2 linked regions of the Rattus norvegicus genome follow. The protein of the gene in region 1 purifies or fractionates together with the protein of each later gene. This does not show direct contact. Links are inferred from orthologs where the notes say so. Each region holds a gene or a part of one and is shown on either strand. Other genes may lie near its edges.

The links. Proteins that work in one complex are often made in the same cells at the same time.
Region 2: the proteins of Wdr19 (region 1) and Ift43 purify together in Homo sapiens (affinity purification with mass spectrometry; 3 studies listed by BioGRID and IntAct, counting the BioPlex papers as one, with this or other methods). This does not show direct contact. The link is inferred for Rattus norvegicus from reciprocal best matches to the Homo sapiens genes WDR19 and IFT43.

The regions. Positions count from the first base shown.
Region 1 is NC_086032.1:43,449,899-43,453,510, forward strand, and holds part of Wdr19 (WD repeat-containing protein 19), read right to left. Parts: intron 3,035-3,612; coding exon 2,909-3,034; intron 1-2,908. UniProt on the Homo sapiens protein: As component of the IFT complex A (IFT-A), a complex required for retrograde ciliary transport and entry into cilia of G protein-coupled receptors (GPCRs), it is involved in cilia function and/or assembly.
Region 2 is NC_086024.1:111,459,371-111,463,646, forward strand, and holds the start of Ift43 (intraflagellar transport protein 43 homolog), read left to right. Parts: upstream 1-1,380; 5' UTR 1,381-1,411; coding exon 1,412-1,465; exon of another isoform or gene 1,466-1,475; coding exon of another isoform or gene 1,476-1,490; intron 1,491-3,763; coding exon 3,764-3,856; intron 3,857-4,276. UniProt on the Homo sapiens protein: As a component of IFT complex A (IFT-A), a complex required for retrograde ciliary transport and entry into cilia of G protein-coupled receptors (GPCRs), it is involved in ciliogenesis.

The DNA of each region.
Region 1 (3,612 bases):
CACCAATGGCTCAGGCACTAAGATCGACAATTAATAAATGGGACCTCAAGAAACTGAAAAGCTTCTGTAAAACAAAGGACACTGTCAATAGGACAAAATGGCAGCCTATAGCATGGGAAAAGATCTTCACCAGCCCTACATCTGACAGAAGACTGATATCCAAAATATATAAAGAACTCAAGAAATTAGACCTCAAGACCCCCAAAAACCTAAATTAAAAATGGGGTATAGAGTTAAACATAGAATTCTCAACAGAGGACGCTCTAATGGCCAGGAATCACTTAAAGAAATGTTCAACATCCTTCATCATCAGGGAAATACAAATCATAACAACTTTTGAGAGTCATCTTAAACCCATCAAAATGGCTAAGATCAAAAACTCAAGTGACAGCACATGCTGGTGAGGATATGGAGCAAGGGGAACACTCCCCCATTGCTGGCTGGAGTGCAAACTTGTATAGCCATTTGAAAATCAAGTTGGTGGTTTCTCAGAAAATGAGGATAGTTCCACTTCAAGACTCAGTTATATCACTCCGGGCATATACCCAAAAGATGCTCCATCATACCACAAGGATACTTGCTCTACTATGTTCATAATAGCTTTATTCATAGTAGCCAGAAACTGGAAACAATCTAGATGTCCTTTACCCAAAGAATAGATAAGGAAAATGTGATACATTTACACAATGGATATTACTTAGCTATTAAAAACAGTGACATCATGAAATTTGCAGGCAAATGGATAGAACTAAAAAAGATCACCCTGAGTGAGATAAACCAGACCCAGAAGGACAAACATGGTATGTACTCACTTATAAGTGAACATTAGTCATAAAGCACAGGATAACCATGTTACAATCCACAGATCCAAAGAAGTGTAGTGAGGATGGAGAGAGAGAGAAAACTGGGGAAGGAACTGGAATCAGTGGGAGGCATCTCTGGGATGAACTAGAAACCTATGACAGTGGAAACTCCCAAAAATCTATGAAGTTGACCCTAGCTAAGACTCCTAGCAATGGAGATATGGAACCTTAAACAGCCCCTCCTGTAATTAGTAAGACTTCCAATGAGGGAGGGGACACCAACCCAACCATAAAAACCTTCGATTCACAATTTGTCCTGCCTACAAGATGGGGAGGAATAAAGAGGAGCAGAAATGAGGGAATGGCCAACCAATGACTGGTCCATCTTGAGACCCATGCCAAGAGAGAGAGAACACCCCACACCTGACGCTATTAATGATATTCTGCTATAACTGCAGACAGGAGCCTAGCATAACTGTCATCTGAAAGGCTTCACCCGGCAGGCAATAGAAACAGATGCAGAGACCCACGGCCAAACAGTAAGTGGAGCTCAAGGGACTTTGTGGAAGAGAGGGAGAAAAGATTGAAGGAGCCAGAGAGGACAAAGACACACACACAAAAAAATCTACAGAATCAACTAACCTAATCAAGTAACGGCTTGTAGGGCGTCACTGGGACTGAACCACCCACCAGAGTGCATGCATGGGATGGACATAGGCCCCCTGAACATATCAACAGATGTACAACTTTTTTTTTTTTTTTTTGGTTCTTTTTTTCGGAGCTGGGGACCGAACCCAGGGCCTTGTGCTTCCTACGTAAGCGCTCTACCACTGAGCTAAATCCCCAGCCCCCAGATGTACAACTTTATCTTCACGTGGAACCCCTAACAGAAGGAGCAGGAGCTGTTTGTGACTCTGCTGTCTACCTTTGGATCCCTTTCCTCTAACTGCTGCCTTGTTTAGCCTCAATAAAAGAAGATGCACTAGTCCTACTGCAATCTGATATGCCAAGGCAGTTTGATATCCATGGGAGGGCTCCCCTTCTCAGAGGAGAAAGGGAGGGGTGGGGTGGGAGAGGTGAGTGAGAGGGAGGGACTGGGAGGAGAGGGGGCAAAGCTGCAATTGGGATGTAAAGTAAATACATTAACTAACTAATAAAAAGAAGCTATTTCACAGTCATAACATCTTTATTCTTTTGTTTTTATTTTTTAAGACAGGGTTTCTCTATGTAGTCCTGTGTGTCCTCGCACTTGCTATGTAGACTAGGCTGGCTTCGAATTCATAGAGATCTGCCTGCTCCTGGGGGATCAAGGGTATGTGCCACCATGAGTGGCCAAATCATCTTTATTCTAATTAATGGGAGGATTACACACAACAACCATAAAAGAAATAGGGTTTTTCTTTCATAAGAAAATTAATACAGGTGTAGGTTTGTAATCCCAGCACTTAGGAGGCAGGGCCAAGAGGATTAGAGTTCAGTCATCCTTACCTACACAATGAACTCCAGGTCAGCTTGGGCTATGTAAGATCTTGTGTCAAAAAACCCACAACCAAAGCAAAGCAAGACAATAACAAGAACTCATGGCCAGGCATGGTGGCACACAAATGCCTTTAATCCCAGCTCTTAGGAGGCAGAGGCAGGCAGATCTCTGTGAGTTCTAAGCCAGCCTAGTTTATATAGTGAGTTCCAGGACAGCTAGGGCTACATCATGAGATCCTGTCTCAAAATGAAACAAAACACCAAAAAGACAACTTCAAAAAAAAAGGGGAGGAGGATTCATCATTGTGTCTCCAAAATCAGAACAGTAAACACTTTCAGCAGTAAAAGGACAGAGAGTCACATTTCTCAGTGCAAACTTCAAAAATAATTGGAAGACAGCAAACAGTAACATTGCTCAGTGATTTAAAAATAACTACAAAGTTGGGAATTGCTAATTACACTGATGTGACCAGTACACAATGCATGCATCTGTTAAAATACCATTATGTGTGTGTGTGTATCCATATATATACATCCCAATAAAAGTGCAATTACTGACATTAATAAAATGATACAAAATGACAGAAGCGCTAAGATCACCACTTAGTAAGCGAAGGTGTCCTCACCTCATGCCGTTGTCCAGCTGGCTGGTTTTATTTGTGTTGGCGTCCCATAGATAGATGCAGCTGGACTTCTCAGCAATCACCGCCAGGATGTCACCATCTTTGTCCCAATCCATGGCAACACAGTTGCTTTTAGGAAAGAGGATGCCATTACTATCCATGTCTCGGACGTCAGACGGAAGAAACAGACACCCAGCCATCTATGACTTCCTTCTCTGATGGATCATGATATAGAAGCATAAGCCAAATAAATCCTTTCCTCCCCAATAAATCCTGCTTTTGGTCATGGGGTTTTATCATAGCAGTAGAAGCTCTAGTTAGCCTAAGTTGGCAGCGAGATAGTGAGGTACTGTGTGACGGACAGAACTATGCTGCTTTGGGGAGGACTGTGGAAGGACTTTGGAACTTTGGTCTAGAAAAGCCACTGAGAGTTTAAAGCTTGGTGAGGTATTCTGTGGGCGTGCGGAAGGTAGAGATATAGGGGGTGGAGGCCCGGCTTCTGCAGTTCTGAGTGTCAAGAACTTTATTTGGGCCAATGCACATTCTGAGTGAAGCTCAGCTGAGGCTTGAGTCAGCTGTGGTTAACAAAACTCCAGAACCACCTTTGCTTTGCTGGGATAATCGATGCTGGTTCGCTGAAGCTGAGACATTAGCAGTGATTTAGAAGAGACCAGCATCACTGAAGTAAAATTTTCTGGAAGTGATTC
Region 2 (4,276 bases), on another chromosome or scaffold:
AGAAGTGGGCGGGAGTTTACAAGAAGTTGAAAAATTCAAACATTAATCCCTTCTTGCACAGTTGGTGCCAAGGAAGAAGGAACAAGGGAATAGTTGGTGCCTATATTGAAGCTGGCTTAGATTTTTGGCACTGATTGTTCTGTCTGATTAAAATCTAACAAAATATTCTCACCGAGAAGCCAGTAAGGATCTCAGAAGGAAACTGAGGTCAAGCAAGGCTGGGCTGAGAAATCAATTCTTCCAACTCGCAGGCCGGCGTCATTGGGCATGAAAATGCTTGGCCTTGCTCAGTAAAAGGGGCACTGAAACCTTGAGTTGAATGTCACTTGCTGGGTACTTCAGCAATGCTTGTCATTAAGCTTTAGGTGCAGCCCTCCCAGTGCTTCTTGAACTGTGGAGATCCACATTCCATTTTCTGTGAGTCCTAGTGAGCAGTGCCAAGAACTGGCCGGAGATGTTGACTTAGGGATTTTATGTAGAATGAATCAATGAAGACTCAACATGACTACCCCCTAGGCTGTCTGTGGGCTATCTCCTGCAGGCCTAGGAGGATGGCTGGGAACCACTACGTGCTGGAAGTCACTGCAGTAACATGTGGTGTTACAAAGGCTGTCCCGGCACTTGGGACTGGAGTCATTTTCCTCTGTCTGTCTGTCTTGCTGGTAAGATGAGTCATTGCTACCCACTTTGTGGGGTTGTTCAGATTAAGTTAGAACCCCAATATTATACCCTCTTTTCTATTTCTATTGAAATGGAGTCTCACTGTGTTGCCAAGACTGGAGTCCCATTCCTAGTCATAAGTAGTCCATTGGCTTCATCCTCCTAAGTAACAAGCTGGGATTATGGCCCCTGTCACATCGAACTAATTTTTCTTGCCTCTAACACCCAAGTTCTGGAATTACAGGCGTGCATCACCATGTATGACTGCTTTCAATAAACCTCTTGAAGGCAGAAATCACACACACTGATTTTTTGCAAGTCATTGTAAATGTGTAAACTATTTATTACATTGGTGCTCATCCATCAAATGGAAATAACACCGCACGTCTATCCTTGAACAGTAACTCTGAAGGCCTCTGTCAATTGTGAATGTGAGGGCTCAGAATAATCACTGAGAGCAGTGCTTCCACTCACAACCGTGTTTAATCAGAGTTACGAATCTAGGCAGTCCCCAGGGCTAACCTCTCTGCAGCAACCTTAGAGAGGATCTTGCTAGTTGGCGATTTGTTTTGTTTTCTCCGAAGTCCAGCAAAGTTAGTGTAGGAAAGATCTGGTTTCAATTGGAAGGTGACACACAGGACCTAGGAATTGTGAGGCGGACTCTTTAAGGACTGGGATGGAAGGGCGGGGTCGTTGTTAGGGACGCGGCGGAGACGGCTGTTTCCAGGAAGTGACATCAGCGGCCGCGGTGATGGACGATTTACTGGATCTGGGAGAGGAGAAACGTCGCAGCTCGGCCACCTCCGTGAGGAGCGATGCTGGGGGCTGGGGTCCGGTTTGGCGGGTGGGACAAGTGGCCCGGCTCTCTGAGAAGCCCAGAGTCGGGACAGACCCTGGCCCAATTGCCCGAGTGCGAATTCCACCTTAACGGAGGGTCTGACCCCGCTCCGACCACGCCCGCTCCCGCCCTGGAGTTTTCTCTAGGGCAGTCTAGTCCCGGAAGTTCTGAAAGAGACTGAGAAGAGAGCTGGCTGGAGATGTCCTTTCCTCATGCTCTCTAATCTCTGCTCCCCCTCCAGGATTGGAAATCAATACTCCATTTTATTATGTGTAGGGGGTTGGGGATGGGGAGAGTAACTAGGTGACAGATCTGTTGATGGACCAGAATACACCTAGCCTCGACTTCCATGCTAGTGTTGCTGTGCAGATGAAATGGGGCGATTCATGGAAAGCATTTGCAGCAGTTCGTTGACCTTCCTGTTGTTTCCTCCCAGCCTATGACCGGCGTTTAGCCAGCAAATAACAGAACTTGATTAAAGACCCACATTCAGTGTTTTCTTACTGTCACAGTTCCCCCACCAGGTCTCGGTGCCCACCAGGTCTCGGTGCCCACCAGGTCTGGATAGCCTTTAGAGTTGGTTGAAACCACTGAAGAATTGGGCCGCCTGTCAAGTCCTTAGTTTCTGATGTAAAATCTCAGGTGCCCCGAAGGGCCTTGGTACCATCTTATGCCCTCCAAGGTTCTAGAGAGGCACCTATTGGAGGGAGATAAAGGGGCAGAAGTTAATAGAGCAGGGTTTTTAAAAAGCTACGGGCATTAGGCCACCAAGTCTTTCTGATACACGAACCTTTTTGGTACCTGGGATGTGAATGTAGTGACTATTTCATTCTTTCCACAAATATGTAGTGAGCCCTGCTGTGGATCAGGCGCTGTTCTGGGCACTGGAGAGATAGATAGCAGAGAACAGACCACCGGCCTTTGCTCTAGTTGAGGGGGAGAAGGATAAGGGGGAAAAGACAATAAAAAGTCTGCCCTTAAAATACATGACCTCAGGTTTTCTATGTGTGAATTTTACAGGGTCTTCAAATAGTCTCAAACATTAACGGCTGATAGAGAAATCGCTTGTCAAGGACGTTTACAGACAGGATCATTTTTGTTCAGGGTAACTACTGTAGAATCAGATACTTGGACAAACAAAAGAGGGTATCTTTCTAGAGAAAGATATGAACTGTATCATCAGAAAAATTATTCCCGTCACCCTTGAAACTTCAAAAGATCGGCCTTGTAACTTGAAGAGTTGATGGTTGCAATTGGATGGCCAGATTCCACTTTAGTGATTTCTGTCTGTTTAATGTGGTTCTCCGGAAACCCTAGTCTCCCTTCTTAGAACACTTAGCACCAGGTTTTCAGTGGGGTGCTCTGGGGATGTGGGACGAACATAGGATTTAAATTCGAACATTACTTAATCACCGTCCTGGCTTCCATCGGTCTCAGTCTTTGTCCATAGCATCTTGAGACTGGAGCACAGCCCCGGCAATGAGACCTGAAGATGTTATGCTGGTGCTGGTTTTGTTTTGTTTTAAATGATTGCACAGATACTCTTCAGCACCCATCAGTGTGCCTCAGAGTTTCCTTTTGTTCTGGGGAGTGTTGGCAACAGAGGCCCGACCCACTTGGAGGGCCTGGGGACACCTGCAAATGTTTCGTCTGTTGACTCAGAATCCTGAGGTGCTCACTTATAGCTGCCAAGGCTGCTGTCTCAGCATTCCTGTGGTAGAGCTCCCTCCATGCCTGTAGATGCAGATCTAACCAGCAGAGCAAGAGGTGTCTGGATTACTAGGCTGCCATAGAATTGAGGAACTCTCTCTTAAAGCCTGTTAGCTGCCTCAAGTCTAGGAACGTGGGAGCCTTTACCACCTGCTCTGGGCTATATGACTTGAGGTCACTGCCCAGGCTAGCTGCATTTCTGTTTGTCATCGACAGAACAGGACAGAACAGTGACTTTGTTTTTGCAGTAACTGTGGCTGTTGAAAATCTCACGATCAATAACCTGTATGTTTCCTATTCTACCAAGTAGATCTAACTTGGGTACTTTCTCATAAAGGTTTAGAGAATTCTCTATGAATATTTCCACTTGATATATTCATATATCATACACACACACACACACACACACACACACACACACACACACACACACACACGTTACTCAGATCCTGTTCTCTGCTATCCCGTAAAAGCCCAGTCCTGGCTTACTGTATGTCATACCCACAGGGCCTCAGGTGACACTGGGTCAGCTGTACTCTCCGTCTCTCCTTTCAGGGGGCCAAGATGGGACGCCGAGCTCAACAGGAGTCGACTCAGGCTGAGAATTATCTCAACAGCAAGAATTCTTCATTGACTCAGACCGGAGAGGTGAGTGTTACAGAGATGTGAAACAGGAAGTCGTGGATACATGCATGCTCTTCAGGAATAAACAAACCCTTAGCGAGCAGGGCTGTGGCATCCTATATTTGTTTGGAACGCCAGTCTTTCCATGCATGTGTCTCGACTTGGATGTTCTCTTTGAGGACATTTTTCCTACTGGGAACATCTTTCCTTTGAGGCTATACTGGCTTCTGGACTTTTTTTTTTTTTCATATTCATAGTATCCAATTTTTTTTTTAAGGACAGGGTCTCAGGTGACTGGTGTGGAACTCACTGAGTAGCTGAGGATGACCTTGAATTACTGAATCTCCTGCCTCTACCTCATGAGTATTTGCTCTGTCGTTTGTAGGTACTAGGTTCAGGCTTGGGGCTTTGTGCGTGCCAGGCAAGCACTCTATCTCCCTGAGT